Linked DNA regions of Caenorhabditis elegans. The protein of the gene in region 1 interacts with the protein of each later gene in a pairwise test. Each region holds a gene or a part of one and is shown in the gene's direction. Other genes may lie near its edges.

The links.
Region 2: the proteins of lin-15A (region 1) and mua-6 interact in a two-hybrid assay, tested with the Caenorhabditis elegans proteins (2 studies listed by BioGRID).
Region 3: the proteins of lin-15A (region 1) and alp-1 interact in a two-hybrid assay, tested with the Caenorhabditis elegans proteins (2 studies listed by BioGRID).
Region 4: the proteins of lin-15A (region 1) and C27H5.2 interact in a two-hybrid assay, tested with the Caenorhabditis elegans proteins (2 studies listed by BioGRID).

Annotation. Positions count from the first base shown.
Region 1 is NC_003284.9:15,729,996-15,735,896, forward strand, and holds lin-15A (Protein lin-15A), read left to right. Parts: upstream 1-1,972; 5' UTR 1,973-1,979; coding exon 1,980-2,258; intron 2,259-2,725; coding exon 2,726-2,815; intron 2,816-2,866; coding exon 2,867-3,304; intron 3,305-3,809; coding exon 3,810-3,914; intron 3,915-3,961; coding exon 3,962-4,129; intron 4,130-4,187; coding exon 4,188-5,267; 3' UTR 5,268-5,370; downstream 5,371-5,901. Other genes in the region: Protein lin-15B, read left to right, coding at 1-374, 428-1,501, 1,551-1,616. UniProt on the Caenorhabditis elegans protein: Synthetic multivulva (synMuv) class A protein. SynMuv proteins are required to repress the induction of vulval development.
Region 2 is NC_003284.9:16,261,749-16,267,261, reverse strand, and holds mua-6 (Intermediate filament protein ifa-2), read left to right. Parts: upstream 1-1,575; 5' UTR 1,576-1,580; coding exon 1,581-2,056; intron 2,057-2,277; coding exon 2,278-2,464; intron 2,465-2,519; coding exon 2,520-3,272; intron 3,273-3,450; coding exon 3,451-3,612; intron 3,613-4,556; coding exon 4,557-4,673; intron 4,674-4,730; coding exon 4,731-4,781; 3' UTR 4,782-4,973; downstream 4,974-5,513. Other genes in the region: Serine/threonine-protein kinase sgk-1, read left to right, coding at 5,211-5,232. UniProt on the Caenorhabditis elegans protein: Cytoplasmic intermediate filaments provide mechanical strength to cells. Essential protein, involved in attachment structures in epidermal cells that connect muscles to the external cuticle.
Region 3 is NC_003282.8:8,850,683-8,855,531, forward strand, and holds the start of alp-1 (PDZ and LIM domain protein Zasp), read left to right. Parts: upstream 1-1,817; 5' UTR 1,818-1,831; coding exon 1,832-1,930; intron 1,931-2,436; coding exon 2,437-2,582; intron 2,583-3,847; exon of another isoform or gene 3,848-3,863; coding exon of another isoform or gene 3,864-3,895; intron 3,896-3,977; coding exon 3,978-4,086; intron 4,087-4,216; coding exon 4,217-4,374; intron 4,375-4,613; exon of another isoform or gene 4,614-4,673; coding exon of another isoform or gene 4,674-4,766; intron 4,767-4,810; coding exon of another isoform or gene 4,811-4,849. Other genes in the region: T11B7.5 (uncharacterized protein), read right to left, coding at 4,674-4,766, 4,811-4,849.
Region 4 is NC_003280.10:7,154,009-7,161,489, forward strand, and holds C27H5.2 (TAR DNA-binding protein 43 N-terminal domain-containing protein), read left to right. Parts: upstream 1-1,572; 5' UTR 1,573-1,674; coding exon 1,675-1,699; intron 1,700-3,042; coding exon 3,043-3,135; intron 3,136-3,858; coding exon 3,859-3,981; intron 3,982-4,024; coding exon 4,025-4,150; intron 4,151-4,242; coding exon 4,243-4,346; intron 4,347-4,411; coding exon 4,412-4,687; intron 4,688-4,733; coding exon 4,734-4,816; intron 4,817-4,865; coding exon 4,866-4,968; intron 4,969-5,015; coding exon 5,016-5,227; intron 5,228-5,275; coding exon 5,276-5,384; intron 5,385-5,500; coding exon 5,501-5,604; coding exon of another isoform or gene 5,605-5,641; exon of another isoform or gene 5,642-5,675; coding exon of another isoform or gene 5,676-5,697; exon of another isoform or gene 5,698-6,001; intron 6,002-6,385; coding exon 6,386-6,455; coding exon of another isoform or gene 6,456-6,503; exon of another isoform or gene 6,504-6,606; intron 6,607-6,698; coding exon 6,699-6,839; 3' UTR 6,840-6,953; downstream 6,954-7,481. Other genes in the region: fust-1 (RNA-binding protein FUS), read left to right, coding at 84-121, 329-467, 513-1,122, 1,171-1,275; C27H5.12 (Ferrochelatase), read right to left, coding at 7,340-7,471.

The DNA of each region.
Region 1 (5,901 bases):
ACCGTCGCTGTGCAGTATGTGGTCACTTGGAAATCCACGAGCGTCTGAAGAATGTGACGATTGAAAATGAAAAGCTGTTGATTATGTTGGGCTGTATTTATCGCGGAGAATTTACTCTAGGACAGGCACAGCTTTTCATGGCGCGTGAGAGCAAAACGTACATTTGCCGTCTCCATTTCCTGGAGACCCTCGACGAGATCTACCAGATGCTACGTCTGAAATCTGCCGATGATATTCTGATTTGCCCATTGGACTTGATTCAGAACGCATTGATCACTGTTTCCGCCCTCCGTCCACACATTATTGCTTCACAACTTCGAAAGATTCTTCACGATTTTGCCGAAAGAAATAATCATCTTCGTGAAACGCCAGCGGTAAGTTTCCGTTTTTAAAATTGCACATTTTGAAACAAATTAATTGTTTTTAGGAATTGAAGAAACTTGGACAACAATACTTTGACTACCGCGAGCCCGAACCTGAGCCAGAGAGAAACGATGTGGATGAGCAAGAAATCATACCGAAACTCTTTCGCCAGCCACGCAAGCAAGTTCTGGAAGCTGATCAGCATGACGGAACTGTCAAGGTTATAGAGCAGGAAGATTTCAAGCTCCCAACTGTCAAACCGTCTGAAAATGAGGAATGCGACAATCCGGGCGTTTGCTGCTTCTGTTCGAAACGTGGCGACCGAGGTGGAATGCTTCGTGTCCCGAGAAGTGAGGAACGTTTGGCTAGATGGGTGGATAAGCTTGGACCAGAATTTGAAGCCCGACTTCACACCAATACGGAAAACCTAATTTGCCGAAGCCATTTCCCAGATGCAGCGTTCAGCAGTCGTGGTAGACTTTTGAAAGGAATGATTCCAGATGCTGCTCCAGAAAAAGTTGAGACCACGTATATCATTCAAGGGAACAACTTCCTCAAACTCAAAGAGCGCAAGTCTGGAACTGATAAGAATTCAGCCATTGATTTGGCGAATATGTTAAACCCCGACGGTGTTGAATATACTCAGGAAGAAGAAGAAGAAGAGGAATATGAAGAAATGTCAAGATCCCCAACGGAAGAGACTTCAGACGACGAGCCCAGTCAAGCAGCAGTTTACAACAATGCTCCAGTGATAAAACGTACCTATAGAAAGCGGGAGTTGTCAAACGAGGATGGACCTCTTAACTTGGTAACACCACCTGCTCATACTCCGAACCCAAGAGGGCGCCCAAGGAAGTATCCCAAGAATAGTGTAACACCAGAAGCTGAAAAAAGCCTCACCGACTACGACTACAATCCGGGAACATCTCAACGACGTGCACTTAAGAAAGGTTACGTACAACTCGAAGACGGAGAAATTGTCGGCGAAGATTGCGAATACGTGCCTGAAAAAACACCAAGTGGAAGATTGATTCGACAAGCTGTTGCTAGACGAAGCTTTGCTTTTGCTGATGAGGAAGAGGAGGAGGAAGAGTATGAAGAATCTCCAATTGTTAAAAAGCCCAAGATTGCTGGAAGAGTGAGTTTTTGAAAAATATATGCTTTGAATTATTTTTATATTTTTTCAGCCAGTCGGACGACCGCGCAAAGATGCTAATAAGCTGCCAACCCCCACACCACCCAGCAACGAATAAGTGGAAATATTTTCATCCACCGTTCCTGATTGTTGTTTTTATATATAATTTTTTCTCCATTGATGTTTTTGATGATTAAGTCATACGCATAGTTTTACCCTGTTACTTTGATTGCCCTTAAAATTACCACTTTTATTTTACCTATTTATTTTAATCATCATTCATCTGAAACCTCACAATGATGAGATGATCTCATCATTTTTATATTTTGTAGTTTTATATCAGTTTTATAAATGTTCACCGAAATTTGATGCCAACTGGTTTTTTTCTAATTCTTTCCAAATGGTTTCACATCACCAAATGACAATTTTCCTTTACTTTCCTATCTTGCTTATCATACACTATCACTTATTCAGATTCCTAATGTTGGCTCCAGCGGCTCCAGCTAAAGATGTTGTCTCGGCAGATGAAAAAGAAGAAATCATTGCGAAAAGAAAATTTCGAATGAAAAACGTTGATGCTATGCGAATGTCAAGCTTGGCGAACGATCGGATGGCTTTCAACAAGAAATGCAATGCCCTAGCGATGAAGTTTGTTAAAAGTGCCGGCATTGGAACGGATGCTCTGCAGCTCACATGTTTCCAGGAGCTCGTCCGGCATTTCAACCCAATTGCCGCAGTTGTTGTTGGTGTCAAAAGAGAGGTATGGCTTTTTAAGGATTTTCTCCCATTTTCTGATATATCTAGTTAAAGGTGGAGTAGCGCCAGTGGGGAAATTGTTAAAAACTACTCCTTTAGTGCCAAAAGGACCAAATATCAAAATAAAACTTTTCAAACATTTTTTGAAAATTTTTTATTTACTGTCAAAAAGTGACAATCATTCAGTGTTTGCCAATCATAATTTTGGAAGTCGACAAAAAAATGTTCTCCTACATTTAAAATGCAATTTTGTTTTGCCTACTTGTATTAAAACATTGTTGGGGTCGGAACATGCGACATTGCTGTGGATTTCCTCAAAAGCTCATATTTTTCATAGTTTTGGCAATATGCCAAAACTTTGACTGGAAATTATGAAAGATCTAAAAATTTTTGGAGTGTTTTATTATGATATTCGGTCGTTTTGAATCATGATAAGGTTGAATAAGAAGTGTTCTATCTTCAATGTTTCAGCCAAACTCCAATGTACAAGCTGAAAAAAAGACAATTCCAAAAGTCAAGACAATACAAACACCTACCCAGTCAATGGAATCTGTTCGATTGGTAAGCAGAAATGTTTGAAGATTATTCATAATAATGCGTATATGGTTTCAGCTCCAAGAGAAAAAAGCTTCAGCAACTGAAGAACAATCAGCTGAGTCTGCTTCGATCATGAAGCATTTTGCGAATACAATTCCAAACTCAACACCAACGCAAAGCGTGAAGGATGTTCTGACGGCGGCTGCAAGCAAGGGACAATTCAAAAGTAGCGCGGAAATTTTTTCACACTTTCCAAGTGAACCCAGCCCCTCGAAACCCCGTGCCACACGAGAGGGATCTCAACCGAGTGACTACACGTATTGTACCTATCTGACTCCGTGCATACTCTGCGAGAAGGCTCTTTTAATGCGAGAAAGCATTGCAATGACTGATAACGAAGCTGTGAAAGTTTTGATGGCGGCAGTGATGTCTGGCCACTTTAGAATGGCAACTGCAGAGAAAGCGATTCGTCATGAGAGGCTAAGGATGTGCTATGATCATGTTGATTTTGTAGTAAGTTGTTCAGTATTTTTTTCAAAATAGTTAAGTTTGAAAAGCTGTGAAAACTTTTCTAAAGCTGATTAGAACATAAATTCTAATTTAAAAGTTATTAATTTTATTTATAATTTTCATGGCAAAAGTTCAAAATTTTTGGTGTTTTGTTTAGTACAACCTCTATTTTATTTTATATATGTGATCGATATTAATACATTAGACTAGAAAACAAGAATTAAAGGACGATCCGTTCTTCAAGTCCTATGCACTACGGATCTGGGATTCAGGTGGTGCTCCCACTGAGTTATAATTTAAGCCACGTCCTAGCCGGGGACTGTGGCCGATAATCCTATCGTGGACTGCTCTACTTACCAATAGAGGCTGGATGAAAACCTAGGTGGTGAGGTTGGACTTGAACTTGTGACCTCCAGATTGCTAGCGGCCACCACTACCGACTGAGCTATCCTGCCCCCTTTTAGTTTAGAGATTTTAGTTTAAAAAAAACCATACACCACTTTTTCAGTACGAAATGATGTGCGACGCCTTTGAAGCTAAAACGGAAAGCGAGATCAATGAGATGCCACCGGACAGATTGATGCGTGGCCATGATATCTATAGAGCACTGAAGGTTTGATTGTCATATCTCGTTGTTCTACAACGGTGAAATGTTTTAAGAGAGTCGGCGACCTGCACAAAGGGAAGGTTACGTCGAACACTCCGCTTTACTCATTCAAGAATTCCATTAAATCTTATTACCGTAACCACGTGCCAAGGATGGTCAATGGGTCTCTCAGTAAACCGTCTCCCAAACCGTTCTCAGAGCTGGTTGCGCTTTTGCAATCGGTGAGTCTTGTGACACTTGTGAAAATTTTAAAAAAATTTAAAAAATTATTCGTTTAAGGTGCCTCCATCGACGAATCTAAATGAGTTGCTGAATCATAATCTTAGCCTCAGTGATGCTGATAAGCAAGAACTCATTCAACTCATCAATGGGAAAGATAATCGTTTCACATCTCGGAGACGGAAAATCGAGGATATTCTTGACAACAAGTTTGCTGCTGCAGCTGCAAAAGCTTATCGAGATCACAGTGAAGATGCACCTAGTGAACCGTATATTCCCAATCAAAGTGAGATGCAGAACACTGTAGAACGCAGAAAGCGAAAGCTTCATTCGCCTGAACAGGATGATGCTGGATCATCGAGTATCTCATGGAACGCAAAAAAAACGAAAACTCCAATTGACTATGTTCACCTAGCAACGCGTGTTTTGGAAGGTCATTCAATTGCCGACGAGGCGCTTTTGCACAAATCCAAAGTTTCTTATGCTCGTAATGCATTTGGTGAGAAGCCAAGCTCCCCCACTCCGCCATCTGCGCCACTAAAGTTCTGTGTTGTCAATGGAAAGAAATACTTGCGTTTTGAAAACGGAACCGGACCTCCGAAAGTTGTAGTTCAAGGGAATGTCGTTCTTCGCACTAATACTCTTAAAGACGCATTGACTACAGCGCCACGTGCACAAAACCAGCCTTCTACGTCCACAGACTCATCAAGCTCATCCGAGATGGAGGGAATACGTCAATCATTTGGGGCGCCTCAAAAGGAAGAAGAAGAAGAAGAATTAGTACCTACGCTTCTTCAAAACAAACCTACCCACGTGGAATCTTCGAGCCCCGTTGAAAAAAAACCACCAACCAAAACGAACGTAGAGAAACCAGCGGTCCGTCTAGGAAGAATGTTAACGACTGCATTTGGTTCAATGAGTTACCGAACAAGAAAATCGGTAGAGAATAAAACGGATCTCTTAAATCAGCCAACATCTGCCTCACCAAGACGCATGATTAAAGTTGTGAGAAACCGAAATCCTCACCTTGCGAAACAAGTGGCCGCCGCACCGAGTGAGCCAAAACATATTCCGCCAACGCACATGGAAAAGAAGCCGGAAGAGTTGCTCATGGATCCAAAGCCTGAGCCAATTTTTTAAACGTTCTTGATAACTTTGATTATTATCTTTTTAGTTCAATTTCATGTTTTTTTTAAACTGTTTTTTTCTCATCACAATCGATCTTATAAATATGTTACTTGTTATCAAAACTATTTCAAGAATTTCGAGTTTAGCGCATTTCGTGAGGAGGAAGTCTGAAATTAAAAGTTTTTGCAATGAATTTTTGTTCGGTCACACGGAATTTTTCAGGTTAGAAAAGTGTTTTGTGCGTGTTGGTTTTGTTGACGTCTTTTCAGAAAAAAAATTTAATGGTGTTTATTGATTGAAACCCGTATCCAAAAGATAAAACAACATACCGCAATTCCAAAAAAGAGCAAATTATGTTTGCCGGAAATGTTTAATTCCGGCCATTTGTCGATTTGCCGGAAATTTTCAATTCCGACAATTTGCCGATTTTCTGGAAGTTTTTAATTTTGGAAAGATGCCGATTTGCCGGAAATTTTCACTCCCGGCGATTTGCCGATTTGCTGGAAATTTTCGATTCCGGCCAATTGCCGGAAATTTCAGTTCCTGCGATTTGTCGGTTTTCCCGAAATTTTTAATTCCGGCAATCTGCCGATTTGCCAAAACTTTTCAATTTCGGCAATTTGCCATTTTGCCGAAAACTTTCAAT
Region 2 (5,513 bases), 530 kb from region 1:
TTCACTGATTTTCGACATCTAAATTTATATGTTTTAATATATTCTAATAAACAACAGTTAGTTGATTCAGTTGTAAAGGTGGAATAGCGCCAGTGGGGAATGTGTCAAAAACCACTCCTATGGTCTCAAAATAACCAAATACCATGATAAAACATTTCAAAAAAATTGGAAAACTTTTTATTTACTGTCAAAAAGTGACAATTGCTCAGTTTCTGCCACTCATAATTTTGGAAGTCGACCAAAAAAAATTTTTTTTTCTACATATTTTATAATGCAATTTTATTTAAATTATTCGTATTAAAACATTGTAGGGGTCGAAACATGCGACATTGCTTTGGGTTTCCTTAAAAGACTCATATTTTCAAAATTTTGGCAATTCTCCTCGTGGTTTTGGCCTATTATAAGTGTATTTAGGCAAAATCTCCATTTGCGCTACTTCACCTTAAAGTTTATTACAGTTATAGCTTGTGCTTATTGCCTACCTAGGAACAGTAGAAAATTAAAATTTTCTTTGTTTCTTCTCAAATTTTTTTCACTTTACGGAGAAAGAAGTAGTTAAATCATTTAAGGGAGCTGATTTCAAATTCTATTTATATTCCTTTTTTAATTAACGAAAACTAGAGCACAAATATTAAATAAGACTATTGGCTTTTAATTGTTTTGATTATTCAAAAATAACAACAAAAAAAACCAAAATTCATGTTGCAGCTAGATCGGTGTAAAAAAACTGTAGTTCTTTGACTAATTACTTTTTGAAACTAGTTTCTTCATTTTGAAACTAAGAACAAACATTTAAGAAAGTTTCCTTTGAAGTTTGCCGAAGTTCAATCACTAAAAATCTTTTTTGCTGTCTCTTCACATTTATCTAATCATTTTAATTCGAGGCAAGTGGGTGAATTCTGACATATCTATCACTTAATCTATCAATTAGTCACCTCGAATCGAATATTTGAATAGAATATGTAACAGTTAAACTTCACAATCTCTCAAGACGAATAATCATTAATCAAAACCACACCCAATCGTGTTTTAACTGACTCCTGACTCATCTGGACGACACCCTTTTCTGGTAGTAGAACAATAATTCACTTACGGGAACATGTCCATCTTCGTCACTTTTGCAATCACCAATGGAGGCGGGGATTGCGAATGGATAAGTGGTCAGGAAAGAGAGAGAGAAAAAAAACGATAAATTGGAGAAAACCGCTCCCTTCCATCATCTTCACTGCGCCGCCCATCTCCAGCCCCTCCCGATCCGCCACCTTCTTCGTGTACAAGAAATGTTGATGGGTTGGGAAGGAAGAGGTGAGGCAGTTTTTATGTCGCCCTCCACCTCCCCTCCCAGTTTTCAATTTCTCGATTTACTTATGTAGGTGTGGTTAGTTATATTCTCAAGAGGGTGTGTCTCGGGTTTTGTCATTTTTCTCACATTGTCCCTGAATTGCTATATTTTTTTGTTTCTAAGTTTTCATAAAACAATTCAAATTAGACAATCTGATTGTTTCAACTTCTCTCTATTTTCTTGCTCCCCAATATATTATAACATAGATTTTTCTAACAATTTAAAATTTTCAGACATAATGACCGATCCAGATTCCTACCGCAGCTCCATCACCTCTCGCCCATCATTCAACCGCACTGTTACCAGCAGTAGTCAAAACTATGGAGCACCAGGATCAGGGAATCGTGTGCTGAAGATTGTCACCGAAACTCACTCTTCCTCAGTTTCAAGTGGACTCTCCCCATACGGACAGAATGCTGCGTCCACCATCCGAGACAACCGTGAGCGTGAAAAGAAAGAAATCATGGAGCTCAATGATCGTTTGGCTAGCTACATTGAGAAGGTCAGATTCCTTGATGCTCAGAACAGAAAGTTGGATGCCGATCTGAAGATGCTCCAAGGAAGATTTGGAAAAAGTACCGGATCTGTGAAAGTTATGTATGAGATGGAGATCACCACTGCCACCAATGTTGTCAAGCAGACAGGAAAGGATCACGGAGAGACTGAAAAGGAGATTCGTAAGCTTCAGGATCAACTCGACGAGTTGCGAAAGAAGTGAGTTTAATTGAGATGAGAAACCATAGTAAATATGAAAACCGTAATGATTCGTTTATATTGATAATCTGCTAAATCTGGATCCTATTCTGGAGAGTTTGAGCAATTCTAGCCATTGCTCCAGTATCACTCCGTTAAGAAGTTGAAACTTTGTATATCCTATACCATTAATACCGGTCCCGTTTATATCTAACAAAATTCACATTGAATATTATTTTCAGGTTTGAAGAGGCCCAAAGAGGGCGTGCTGAAGATCGTTTGAAGATTGATGATCTTTTGGTTACCCTTTCCAACCTCGAAGCCGAGATCAACCTTCTCAAGAGACGCATCGCCCTCCTTGAGGAAGAAGTTGCTCGCCTGAAAAAGGAAAACTTCCGGCTCACATCTGAACTCCAACGTGTTCGCATTGTGAGTGACTAAATCATGAAGTATTCGGAAAAAAAGATACAATTTTTAATTTCAGGAGCTCGACCAGGAAACCCTTCTTCGTATCGACAACCAAAACAAGGTGAAGACTATTCTGGAGGAGATTGACTTCATGAAGAGAGGATTTGAGACTGAGCTCAAGGAGCTTCAGGCTCAAGCTGCTCGTGACACCACTAGTGAAAACCGCGAGTACTTCAAGAATGAACTCGCTAATGCTATGCGTGACATTCGTGCCGAGTATGACCAGATCATGAATGGAAACCGTAATGACATGGAATCCTGGTACCAGTTGAGAGTTCAAGAGATCAATACTCAATCCAACCGCCAAAACGCGGAGAACAACTATCAGAAAGAGGAGGTGAAGAGACTCCGCAATCAAACTTCCGAGCTCCGCCAAAAGCTTTCTGATTTGGAATCAAGGAATCTTCTTCTTGAGAAACAAATCGAAGATCTCAACTACCAGCTCGAGGATGACCAAAGATCCTACGAAGCTGCCCTCAATGACAAGGATGCACAAATCCGCAAGCTCCGTGAAGAATGCCAAGCTCTCATGGTCGAGCTCCAGATGCTCCTTGACACTAAACAAACCCTTGATGGGGAGCTCAAGGTTTACAGACAAATGTTGGAAGGTAATTCTGAAGGAAATGGGCTTCGGCAACTTGTCGAGAAGGTCGTCCGCACATCTGCAATCAATGAAGAGGCTGACACCGAAACGATGCGCGTAGTCAAAGGAGAACACTCCAGCAGAACATCTTATCAACGTTCAGCTAAAGGAAATGTGGCGATCAAGGTGAGGGATTTATTTTCAAGTTTTTTGAAAATTGCTTTTTCGCTAAAATAAAGCTTTGACGTTCAAAAATTTAAAACTTCCAATGGCCATTGACTGTAGTCACTAATAATATCATTCCGACATAAAAATAATCAATTTATCACTTAGTACATACTCAATAATGATAATTTCTTTTCAGGAAACCTCCCCAGAAGGCAAATTTGTCATTTTGGAAAACACACACAGAGCCAAAGAAGAGCCACTCGGAGACTGGAAGCTTAAGAGAAAGATCGACGGAAAACGCGAGATCGTCTTCACCTTCCCATCCGACTACATCCTCCACCCATTCCAATCTGTCAAGGTTTGCGAATTTCTACTTCTTTCAGAAACAAGCCTAGCTACCCAGGACCTGTCGCGTATAAAACATTTCAAATTGGTGTCTCAGAATGAAATGTGTTGTTGTCTCTGTGTGTGTGTGTCGAATTGATAATCTAATGCGCGATTGCGTTTGGGTGTGGCAAGGTCATCCGTCCGTAATGACTAAAGGGGGGGTAACTTTGCTTCGAAAAAGAAAGATTGGGGATGTATGTAGGAGAAAAAGAAGGAATAAAAAGTGATAAACAAATTGATGGAAACTGTGAAGACAAACGTTGTTCACAGAAATCAATAAAAGGGACAGATGAGATGTGAGATTATTTAGGTCAGCTTTGAAAAAAAATGTTTTCAAATAAGGTTTGAATAAGAAATGAATTTGAAAGAAGCAATTATTTATTTAAAAGGTGGAGTAGCGCCAGTGGGGATTTTGTCTAAATGCACTTATAATGATCCAAAACAACCGAATATCATAATAAAACACTCCAAAATTTTTTTTAGATTTTTCATAATTTCCGGTCAAAGTTTTGGCAAATTCCCAAAAAATTTTAAAATACTAGCTTTTGAGGAAATTCAAAGAAATGTCGCATGTTTCGACCCCTACAATGTTTTAATACAAACAAAATTAAAACATAAAAAATGTCGAAAAAAAATTTTTTTTTTGATCGACTTCCAAAATTATGAGTGGCAAAAACTGAGTAATTGCCACTTTTTGACAGTAAATAAAAAATTTAAAAATTTTTTTTGAAAAGTTTTATCAAGATGTTTGGTCATTTTTGGACCAAAGGAGTGGTTTTTAACAATTTCCCGACTGGCGCTACTCCACCTTCAATCAATTTCATACAAAACATTTTTCATAAAAAAAAAAGAAATTCAAGTGAGGTGTTTTAACATTAAAAAAACCACTGTAAAGACAAATTTCTACATTTCCAGATCTTCGCCCGCGGACAAGGAATCGCCAATCCTCCAGAAGTGCTCATTTTCGAAGGTGACGAAACATTCGGTGTTGGCGCCAACGTTCAAACAATCCTTTACAACAATAAGGGAGAGGTAATTCAACCCCCAAAAATTTACGTGCAGAATAAAATGTTATTTTTTTCTTTGCAGGAGCGCGCGACACACATCCAACGTCAAAGCCAACAAACGACATCTTCCTAAATCTAGCTTTTTGCTTGAGCTATTTACTGTTTTCTTCTCTTTGTACCAGAAATCTGAACCCCAACTCTTTGCTGCCTGCCTGTTTGCATTTTTTCCGTTTGCTATATACTTTTTCACTTTTTTGTTTCTTTTTCCTCCGGTAACTTACTCATTTTCAACAATAAATACTTTATACAGATCAAAAAATTGCCATATGGAATGTTCATTTTTCATTTGAAACATTGATAGGAAAAGTAAGGTGGGGAAATATTAAAGGTGATAACGTGATCAAGAGCAAATAAGAAAGTCAGACGAATGGCTCGGTGAGCCGTGATAAGAAGACAAGGTCCAACCCAGCGATTCTAATCAGTTAACACGAGACAAGATACATCGAAAACCCACATTCGACCTGGTGGCGGTTATTCTAAATACGAGAGCATTACTGTGACAATGGGCAGCATGTATTATAATGGTGAGTCAAAGATTAAACCTGGCTGGTTCTGTGAAATGTTTGTATTTGTTTTAAGAAATTCAAAATCTGAAATGTCTTAAAAGTCTCAATTTTTTTAAATGGCTGATAAAATTTTGAAAACCTAGCTCTTCCAGATAAAACCTAGATTTCTGCCAACATGTCACAGTTGCGGCGGTCTGAAAACATTAGTTGATGGGTGCAAAAAATACTTCTTACTCCTGAAAACAACTTAATCAACGAAAAAAGTCATAACAATAAATATATTCATTAAAAATACATAG
Region 3 (4,849 bases), on another chromosome or scaffold:
ATATTTATAATTCCGCTCATGGCTCATTTTTGGCATAAACTTGGTAATGTAAACGTTTTGTGATTTGAAAAAACCCTATACTTCATACCACAAACTACTCTAACAAGTGTTCATACTTTTATGTCTCAAGCTCTTTCAAACAAATCGCACTTTTGTTCCAAATTTCTTCTCATTTTCGTCTCGGTCTTCTTATCATCCCATCCCCCTCCCCTTTTCGTTGATAATCAGCAACGCGCACTCGCTTTACTACAAACACGTCCAATACCTGCGCCTCCTCAAAATCATCCCTATATCATTCCGAGAGCTCCCCCGGCTCTCGGGAGCTCAAGAGGAGATGGCCATGAAGTGCGAGAAGGCTTCCCGCGCCGGGAAGAGCGAGAGAATGTCAGAGTTCGAGCGAGAGGATGTGCTCACGCCCGCGCGTGCCGTACACCGTTGGGCCTGAAGCTTTATCCGCACAGACCTCAGAACAGCAGAACCCCCACCTCCGCAACACAACACCAAGTTGATTTTTTGGAATTTTTTTTTGGAACTCAACCGTCTTAATTTATACATTAGTTCTGTATACTTCTAGACTTGATACAATGCAATTTCAACCTAAAATTGAAGATGTAATCTGAAATCACCCATCTCATATAAGAAAACAATGTTTAAAACTACTTTTTAGATTATGAACGGCAATCTACCAATGCCTAAGGTTGGCACGGTTTTTTTTGAATAAAACTTGTACTCTGCAATTCGATAAATGTATTTAGGATCATGTAAGATTGTTTTTTGCCAACATTTTAGCTCACATACGATAGATCTCTAGGAAGTTTAGTTCAGAACGTCATTCGTGGTATTTTGTGTTTATAATTATTTTTTACTTCAAAGCAAGTAGCATTACCAGATTGTTCAAATAGTTCTTTTTTGGTTGGTTTGTAGGACTTTAATACTAATGTTCAAGTTGCAAACGGAGATACAGGACTTCATGTTAAAAATCGTTAGCTTTGTTGTTATAAAACTTTATGTTATAAAACTTTCATAAGTTTATGTAGATTGGCCTACAAAAAGTATCACCTCTTTAAAAGTTTAAAAAATGTTACTGGCAGTTAGAAATAAAACTACAAAACTGGGGTAATATACGGTGTTCATTATGAAACACACTGATTATGAAAAAAAAATTGGAAAAAACTAAAATTTCAATTATTGGGTGTGGTATCGTTTTTTAAACGTAGTTTAAAACTATATGTTCCGTTAAACGATAAGAGTTCCATAAAAAAAATTAACTGTCAATCACGAATGACTCATCGAATCAGAAAACTCGTTATGCTCAGTTTCATAATTTCAATTGAATTTCTTTATTAATTTTAAATAAAACATCTTACTTTTTCAACAATCTTTTTTTTTCTGTTGTAGTCATTCACTACCATTTCCCCCGTCAAATTGCCCGACAGTCGATAAATATACAAAATCCAGCATAATCTCACTCTCCCTTCTTTTACTCTTATTTTCTATTTTGCACTATACGGAAAACAATACGATTTTTTTGTTTTCAATTTTTAATTAAAAGTAAAAATTCAAAATGTCAAAATGTTTGCAAAATTTTTCATCTATAAACGCCACGTGGTTATTGAAGATTTCGTGTAACTATTGGACTGAAACGTTTGCGCTTTAGCAAATAACTGCGTTTGAAGTGGTACACATTTGAAACAAAATGAATATTTTCGGTTGGACAATATTTTTTTAAACATGTTCTACTAAATTCTGTTTGAAACTTTGATTTATTTTTATTTGTTTCGCTCTATTTTATTGACCAGGACACAATAAAATTTCAGGTAGTCAAATCAAGATGGAACGTGTGACCGTTCGAATGGCTCGTTCGGATCGCCGAACTCCATGGGGGTTCGGTGTGACAGAAGCCCCAGATGGAGCTGTTCTTATTGTTAATGTAAGCTCTTTATTATAAATTTAGTATAAGTGTCCCCCTATTTGTCATAAAGTAGTTTGTCAGTTTGTCCAAATTGAATCACAATAAAATTTGTCGTAAAAATTAGTCTTGAGGCATATGTTTTCGTATACATTTAATACAAAAACCAAGAAAACCCATCACATTCACTTTTAGCACCTCTAGGTTCTTACCGCGATCTCAAAAATCACCGCATCACCACAACTGATTTACAATCTCATCGCCTTCCTCACTTTCTCTCGCAGTTTTATCCTCTGGACATGCCCAGGGAAAATCGGAAGAGCAACACAAAAAACATCACTTATTACAATAAGTTAGATGCTTTCAAAATTTCTCTCAAAACTCATAGACAAAATGTAGTGAGAGATTAGTCGTTAACGTAAGAAAAAATGAATTTGAAAAATTGACATGCGTTGGGGGATTTTTTAAAGCAAAGGGAGCCTTCAATTCAAACAAGTTGAATATCGAATAAAAGTTGAAAATTTCAGGTAATAGGTGGTAGCTTAGCTGATCGTGCCGGTCTTCGTAATGGAGATGTTGTTGATCGTTTGGAAGATCTTGACAATTTGGACATAAACGCTGTTGATAGACTTCTAGTTACAGCTCATGAGAAGATTGAACTTATTGTTACCAGGTAACTCATCTCGTTAAACACTTCAAATTTATCAGTATAGCACCAATTATTCAAAATTTGTGTCGACCACAATAAATAAAAATTATATATAAACAGAGCAGGTGTGTGAAAATAATAAGAAAGACATAATTTTCTCGAATATTTCCCCTAAATCGATCCCTTGAAAATGTACACAACCCTAGTTATGTAATCTGTAGCTTTGTTATCACAACGCAATTCAAAGTAGGTTACTTACCAGTTTGTATTTCCGTTTATTAACCAGTCAAAGTGTTCTCCGTTTTAATCACATCACCAATGTATCCTACCTTTCCGTTTTTAATCCGTCTGCGTCTTAGTTTATCTCCAACAGCAAGTGCTTCATGCAATAGAATATAGATATCCAAAATTTTCGAAGCGAACACCCGCCATATAAACAGGCGAACAGATAAGAATCAGGCCAATCGGTACGGGGGAAGCAGAAGGCAACATTCTTCCGAATATCTCGTTGCAGGAAGAAGGAGGGACTTAGGATTTATACATACATATTCCGTTTGATGACAAATCGTTGCAACTGTTTTGAACTGTTTTGAAACGGTCAAATGTCCCAATCAATGTTTTCTTTAGCTTTGCAACAGCTTTGCAACACAAGTTTTGCTCCTCTTATAAGCACTCTAATGTCATTAAATTTGAAGCTCGTTACCTTTTTCCCTCAAAAATCATTCTGTGTTGATAGTTTTAACAAGCTTCAGATATTTTTGCCCCTTTAAACTTATTTTTGAGCACTTTTTACATAAGCAACTGCAAAAAAAGTTGCATGGAAAAATGTTATAGAATTGCCAAAAATAACTGCCACAGCATTCAAGATTCTTTCCAAAACTGCTGTATAGTTTTAAGAAATACCAAAACAAAACAGTTTGACAATTATTATTATTTTGGCTTTTACTTTTCCCGAATTCGCATAATTTTCTCCTGAATGTTATGTTTTACTTTGAACAGTTGAATTTTAAATAAATAGGGTTTTAATGATGAGTCAGTTCATGACAAAGCAATGTACTTCTGACACTGTTCTTTTTATTTCATTCTCTGTTGTTGTATCAGAGTGTTCCAACAATTTATTCACCCTCTCGCACACAAAAACTGAGAGAATGAAATTGTTGAATACTTCCTCTCACATATTTCCCTTTTCCAGGTGTTTATCATTTTTGAACAAAAAAACTTGCAAGTTTCCTTTTTCTTTACGTTTACCCATTTTCCTATAAATATATTTCATGTTCAATTGAAATGATTTAAGATTCAAAAGTGATGGTGAGAATCACAACGACGCCAAGACCATGGTAATTTGAAATTTAATCGAAGAGATTAAATAGAAAATAAATAAATTTTGATTTCATTCATATCAAATAAGTTTAATTTCAGGCAACCATCCGGTGCAGCCACCAGAATTTGGCGTCCAGAAGTAACTGAAAATACTGGACCAGGACAGGATCAAACCCCATATCGTGTCAATTTGCAGCATAGCAGTGATGTGAGTCATTTGAGTTTTGTTTTGAAATAGGAAGCTTCACACAAAATCGTTATTTGTAATCGTTTTTAACGACAATAGCATAACATTTTTTAAAATTTCTAATAAATAGTGAATAATAAATTATTTTTAGACCCGTCCACCACAAGGTTTCAACAATTCAGCACTTCCTTTTGAAACAGATCAACGTGTGAAACATATGCAATACAATTCTCCATTGGGAATTTATTCCGATAAGTCTGCAGCTGAGCAATATGTTCAACAAACTCAAGGATTGGGAGATAATTCAGGGTGAGTGTTTTTTACATGACTAAATTTTTGAAAGAGCACTTATAGTTCAATTTGGCCAGAAAATATAGTATAAATTTAGTTCGGAAGTTGGCCTATATTTTACAAAAAAATTTCTTGAGACAAGTCATGGCCAAGCTTTGTTCACCCTTTACCAACTTCTGAACAAAATTCTTAGGTTTGGGGCAGTTGGGTCAGAAGTGGCGGTCGAATTCCGAGTCTCATAAATTAATCCAAAAATTACAAGACGTTAACGCTTTTTATCATTCAATTTCAAGAAACGAAAAACAAATTAAATGTATTTAAAATCCACGACGGCTTCTCATTTCTCTGAAAGCTGCAGTGAGGTTATCGATGAACAAAAGCTCGCGTTTCTTGCGCGGAAGGTAGTCTCCCTGAAAATTGATATTCTTTATCATAACAATTCAATCGAAATTACCGTGTCGAAACCTCCGGCGACAGCAGCTTTTCCTGCATC
Region 4 (7,481 bases), on another chromosome or scaffold:
GGTCGAAATCTGAAAACATTTTACTGTGGTGTTAGCATGAGAGAAGAAGACAGAAGACTCCATTCAAGAATGATGTTTTGCAGACAGGGCGGACCTCCAGGAGGAAGAGGAGGTTATCAAGGTATTGAATACGTAAATTGCTTTATCTTTCGTACCACAACGAGTTTATTACCAAAATTAAAAAAAAATGGGTATCCTACCGAGTTTATCATCGAAATTCAAAAACAAAAAACATTAAACGAATATAAAAATACTTGTTCCTGTGCTTTATATTATTGACAGTTGGACGAAAAAATTGTTTGTAAAAGTTTTCATATTTTCATTGCAGACAGAGGACCCCGACGTGACGGACCACCAAGTGGAGGAGGATACGGAGGCGGTGGTGCTGCTTCAGGAAACCGCGAATTCGGATCCGATGGGCGAGTTGAGTTGAAGGAGACCGTCTTTGTGCAGGGAATTTCCACCACGTATGTTTTGTAATCGCCCAATTAAAAAATGTATCTATATTTCAGTGCAAATGAAGCCTACATCGCCGACGTCTTCAGTACCTGCGGAGATATTGCAAAGAACGATCGCGGACCGAGAATCAAGATTTACACCGATCGCAACACCGGAGAACCAAAAGGAGAATGCATGATAACATTCGTCGATGCTTCTGCAGCTCAACAAGCTATAACTATGTACAATGGGCAACCATTCCCTGGCGGCTCAAGCCCGATGAGTATTTCACTAGCCAAGTTCCGCGCTGATGCAGGAGGTGAACGAGGTGGTCGTGGTGGACGAGGCGGTTTCGGAGGTGGTCGTGGTGGTCCTATGGGAGGACGTGGTGGCTTTGGCGGTGATCGTGGAGGATATGGCGGCGGCGGTGGTCGTGGAGGATTCGATGGTGGTCGCGGTGGTGGCGGTGGATTCCGTGGCGGAGACCGAGGAGGATTCCGAGGTGGTGATAGAGGAGGCTTCCGCGGAGGAGATCGTGGAGGATTCCGAGGCGGCGACCGTGGTGGCGATCGTGGAGGATTCAGAGGAGGCCGTGGAGTAGGTGGCGGAAATGCTAATATGGAACAAAGGAAGAATGACTGGCCATGTGAGCAGTGCGGAAATAGCAACTTCGCTTTCAGAAGAGTTAGTTAATTTTGTTTTTTCAAAAAAAAAACACGGGTTTTCTTCTAGGAATGCAATCAATGCCAAGCCCCGAGACCAGATGGAGGATCCGGAGGTGGTGGTGGCGAGCGACGAGGAGGACCACCAGGAGGTGACCGATACCGTCCATATTGAGCCATCAACTCGTCTCCCCATAAATTTTAACATCTAATTTAAATTCTCTGATCTCTTCAATGTGAGAGACTTGTAACAATTTTATATCCACCTTTATATTCTACTTCGATACATTCAAATTTCAATGTTCTTTTTATATTTCATTTTTTCCCACTTTTTATTTTTAACGAAAATAAAAATTTTTGCACATTAACATCTGTTTTTTTTGCAATTGTCCGCATTTCCCTACCCATCAGCTGCTTTGCGTGTCACTGTCTGTTTTCTCTCCGCACTTCATCTCTACGTCACACTATCTGCTTCTCCATCTCTTTCGTCTCGACCTCCCTTTGCCTCGGCGCCCACCTCTCATTCTTCCAATTTACCCGGGAGAGACTGTCCGTTCGAAACTTCGACCGACTAATGAGCAGTATTACAGGACTACAAGGTAAGATTCGAAGAAATCGCTATGAGAATAGATTTTTAGTAAGATTATTCTCGCATATTCAGAATAAAAATATAAAACTATCAATGAAAGTTATTTTAGATTCAGAATTAAAGTATAGTTCTTAAACTTTATGATTGATAGGCTCTACGAACATTTAATTTGAAGATAAAAACGTAGAAAGTTACATCGTAATTTAAATAGACTCTGACATGCCTTCACAAAGGCACACGGATTTATTCAGATGGGTCTTCGCGCGCAAAAAAGTTAATGGTAGTTTTTTTTAAATTAATTTTCATTATAATTTTAAATCTGATTCTGAATAACCAGTAGTTTTTATTGAAAATAAACGCAGTCGCTAAAATCCAAAAGCAGACTACCATAAACTTTTTCGCACACCAAGACCCATCTGAATATATCCGTGCGCATTAATCACAACCAAGGGTGTCAATTCCCGTTTCCCGTTTTTCCCGTTGTCCCGTTTTTGGGGTGTTTTCACGGGAACGGGAATTCCCGTTGTCCCGTTTTCGAAATTTTTACGGGACATTGACACCCTTGATCACAACAGCTGTTTGATTTTCAATAATTACATCTATGTAGTTGCACAAGTATTCAATTTTGAAAATAGTTTTTTTGTTTTTGAACTTTCCTATTGAAACTATTTGATAATGGTTAATGAACATGGGTCTCGCCACGCTGACAACGGGTTACTGTAACTCGTTAGAACTTACAGGTAGATATTACATCATATTTTTGTTTAATACAATTCCGCCACCAGTACCTCGTTTAATTTGAAAAGGTTGATACAATCTCGGTCCATAAATTAATATGAGCTACAGTAACTCGATGTCCGCGTGGCGAGACCCATGCACGTAAGATATGGCGAAAATTCTAATGTGCATAATAGGAATTCAATTTTTAATTTTTTTTGTGTGGTTTATTTTATATAAATACTCTCCTCGCTTTCAATTTCATTTTTTTAATTTTTCAAACTCAAAAAACACACATAGAAACACATAGAAACAAGAAGCTCTTTAAACATTTTCAATTCTTTTGTCCTTCTCCTCATTTTTTCTCCGGCACAATGAGCTTATTCGGTCATGTCAATGTCTGAGTCTCTATATCTTCAGTTGATATTTTGCCTATTTACCCAATGACCTACGAATCGTGTTTCGAATCAAAAACTTGAAAAAATTTGTGTTTGCCTACATTTTTTTGCCCCACACAATTTCATCTTCTTCAATACCCGTAACTACTTATATAATTTGGTTTCATATCTAATCAAACAAGTAATAAAACGGAAGGAAGATGGGAGATATTTAAAAGTAAAATAGATATGTTTGCAGTTAAATCTCTTCGAATCGGGGTGGAACCTGTTGAAGTAGAGTTAGATGAAGATGCTGGTATCTTGTGGACTTCACTTCAAACTGCATTTCCAGGTGGGTTACTGTAACGGAACACAAGAAGATAATGCATTTTAATTTGATGCATTCAGGCTTGTGTCAAACAAAAAACTTCTAGAAAAAATAGCAAGAACATTTGGATTTGGCAGTTGTAAAACATTTTTAATCAAATCATAGACAACCGAGAAGCTAATAGAAGAAAGAAGACAGTTCTTCAGTTTTTCATAATTTTTGTGACTTTTTTCAAAATAACAATCAACACGAGTACACTGTAGGTACTGTAGCCAGAAATTTCCAAATTCTTGTTGAATTTTCCTTTTTGTGAATGTTTTCATTTGACAACACACAAACTGTATCATTTTTTGATGATTCACGTGAATTTCTGCTGACAAGACAAATAGATAATAGCGGAACAGTCCGTGTTATTTTTGTTACCACACACCCCTCTGATGTAGGCATCAAACATGTCACCTCACCCATAGAATTGTTATCACTTCTCATTTCTGCTAACCTTTTTCTTGGTTTATTTCAATGTAATCAAATCGAATCAACATGTATGCAAAGTATGCGAATAATTGCAAAAGAATTGGCGCCCAAAAAGAGAGAGAGAGAGAGAGAGAGAAGAAGAAGCTTTTCTTATCTGTTACAGTCTGTGTCTTATTGATCCGTATATTTTCTCAAGGGTTTTACAGAAATTGATAGCAGCAGGAACTGGAGAGAATGAGAAAAAATGAAAATAAATAGGAAAAAAAATTACAGGATGTTCTGGGATGTACTACCGAGAAATCGGTGACTCATGCAAGAAATCAGTGAAATTTGATGGAAAAAAGTTTATGGCTCCTGGCGGAGCATGGAATGATCGAGAATACTTTGTGACTTTGAGTAAGATTTACCACAAGGACATACCGCAAACAACTTTGTTTAGGTCAAAGATGTCATACAGCTGCTGGAAATTCGGGACATACTGCTTCTTACAGCGACGCCACAAAACAATTTGAAAAAAGTGTGCAAGCAGTGCAGAAAATGATGTTGGCTTCTGGAATGAAAATAGGTGAGAAGGGTCATTCAGCACATAATTTTCATAATTTTTACCATATGAAATCAATTTATTCCTGAAATCAAACATACAAACTGCTCTTTGAGATATGAGCCATCTTACAAAGAAGCGCCAACACACTTCTTCTCGTGAAACAGCTTCATCAACTTCATCATCTACAGTAACCCCTGATCCGATTCAAGCAATTGAGGTAGGTATCCTTTATTTTGACATTTTTATTCACAAAAAGATGTTTTCACAAAATCAATTTTTTAGGAACGCTCACAAATGTTGAAAACCGCTGGAAGAGAACTAAGCCCATTGGAACAACAATTTTTGGATTTATGCCGTATTTCAACTGCGAAAGATCAGATTATTGATGCCAATCGACAGGAAATCACAAAGATGAATGAAACGTTACGAATTTTGGAAAAAAACTTGAAGGAGACCGAGACAAATTTATCTGAAGCAAATGCGATGGTTGATTGCAAACAGCAGGAATTGGAAATGGTCAGTGAAGCATTAAAACGATTGGAAGAGTCGAGGCATACTGTAAGACAAAGATTTCCAGTTTCAAATATTTATTGATAATTTTCAGATCAGCGAGTTGAACCGAAAATCTGGAAATTTGGAGGAAAATGTTACCGAGCTGCAAATGAAATTGATGAATGTAGAGGAGGAGTAAGTGGAGGTGAATAGCAAACGTTTCCATATTTCACTAGTATTTCAGAAATCACGGACTAAAAGCTCAACTTGAAACAAGTCACAATAGAATAAAAGAAATGTCTGATACTATATCAATGCTTACTTCATCAAAGGATATTTTGTCAAAAGTAAGAACAATTGTTATTCAGATTTCAATAAAATGTACCTACTTCAGGAACTGGATCAATTGAGACCATTCGCAGATGCAGCTGGAATTGAGGATTATGAGAATATCCCAACGTTTATTCACGCAATTCAGGAAAATAAGGAACTTCGGAAAACAAATGAAAATATGAAACTTCAATCAGAAGAAACAAAAGATAATCATAAACAGATGCAAAGTATTCATACAGAGGTTTTCGAGGAAAATGCTAAATTAAGGAATAGGTTAGATTGATGGAGTTATTACAAATTTTTGGAAAATTTATAATTTAGAAACGAAGATTTGGAACGAAGATTTGCACATGTTGATGATGAACTCGCTTGTGTGAATGAGAATTGGGCAAAAGAACTGAAAGAGAAACAACAAGATTGGGATAAAGTTGTAAGTTTCTACTTAAAAAATTGAATCGAAATTGGGCGGGATGAAAAAGAGACTGTTAGAAATCCATTTCTAATGTTTAATAGTTATTTTATGCCAAAGAAATTAATTAATTTCAGAAATACGCAGCAGAATCAGAAGTGTTATCTCTACGTGAACAACTTGTCCATCTTCAATCAATTCTTGAATCAGCAACCCGGGAAGCAGCAGAAAATGCTCGAAGGTCAGCTGATCCTCTGCTCGAGTATTCTCTTATCTAGATCACTCTTGCATTTTTTCTATTTTTTAATTCAGAAACGTCATCTGGGACTGGTAGATTCGTAGACTTGGTAATTGATAATTCGAATATTTTTATTATTTTTAAACCATAATCTGAAAGAAATCTTAACAGTCTCAGTTGATAAGTAACCAAAATAATTGATTGAATGCCCTGAAAATGCACAAATTTTCGTTTCCTTCCAACGTACCTGGAACGTTTTGATCCATATTCCTTTTATCTCACTTTTTCCCAAAAAATTCCGGTTTCTTCCGTTTAACGGTTTTCCTTCTCGGTTATGCTCAACCCTAATCAGTTTTCGTATTTGTAAATAGTTTTAAAATGAATAAAATTTTTGGATTCATAACCGTTTTTGTTCAATAGCAAGGAATACCGTTAAATGGGAGAATCAACTGCAATATCATTTTAAAAATCTGTTATTTTATAGGCCACTTTTCCATTCCAGCACAGTTTTTGAAAACTTTTTGTCAAAGTTTTGGCAAATTGTCTCAAAATCCTGGACTTTTTGAGAAATTTATAAGGACATTTTATAGGGCATTCTTGATTATCAAAGCTCTACTAGGTTTGAACATTAAAAAAAATATAAATAGTAGAAAAGACAGTTTTTGGTAAACTTCCAAAATTGTAGTAGCTGAAAACTATTGAAAATTTATGAATATTTTTGCAAAGTTTAATAATAGTTGTGAGATTTAATTGTTTCAAGAGTGTTAAATCTGAATAATTACAGAGTATCAGAATTGGAACATGAACGTCATGAAGTTCGACGTCTCTCCGATGCAATGCATATAAAAGCTCAGGTGAGCGGCAGTCCAGTCCATCGTCTGTCGTCTTCAATTCGCTTTTAACTAAAAAAACCCATTTGGCTTATCATTTCATTATGAATCAATTTCACAAAATCACGACACATATCTGATTATTTTAAGTTCTCAATAAATTATTTTTATTTCATGTTTTTGCTGTGAAAAGCTGATTTTATGTTTGCATGGCTTCGCTTTAAATAATTTCAAATATCTAACATATTCAATTTCCGACTATTCCAGGAAGATCTAGCCCGTCAAGTGAGAGTTTTGAAAGAAAGACTCGCAGAATCGGATAGTCAAGTTGCTGAGCTCAATGTGCTTGTTTCTTCGTTGGCAGCAGATGCCACAGCTTCACGCAGAGAAATTTCAGATCTTTTGTAAATAATTCGATGAAAATATTTGATGATAATCCGAGTGTGCTTCAGTTTCTATCTAAAAAATAACGGCGTAGATTTAGAGTATGTAATAAAGAGTTTCTTCACTGACTTGTAAAAAGTATGAACAGTTTACATATATGATTTAATTTTTATCGGTACAAAAACTATACTGATTTGGGCTAGTGCTAGGTCTAAAAATTGCTTGATAATGAGAAGTACTGTGTTTTTTCACTACAATTCTTGCTGGAAAAATTAATGTTGAATGGGAAGGACTGAAAATAGTTTTAGCAGCACAGAAGTTTGACTAAGAAAAAATTATCAATGGGAAAAACTGAGCCACCTTTCATCGTAAAATCAAATCAAAAACGAGAAAATACGTTTATATTTATGAATAAATTGAAAGTAATAAAATATATAAAGGCACGTAATTGAAAAAGGTTAACAACGGAAGCATTTAATCAATTGATTGGCATTCTATTTTGTTGAGTGTATTGAATATTTTCTTCAACAAGTTGAACTCGAAATACAAATCCATACCCTTAACGGTATCAAGGGAAAAACATCTTTCGATACATTGTTCAAAATCTTGTCCAGAATTATTTCATTATCAAACACAGCGTTAATTGGGTCAAAGTTCTGAAATGCC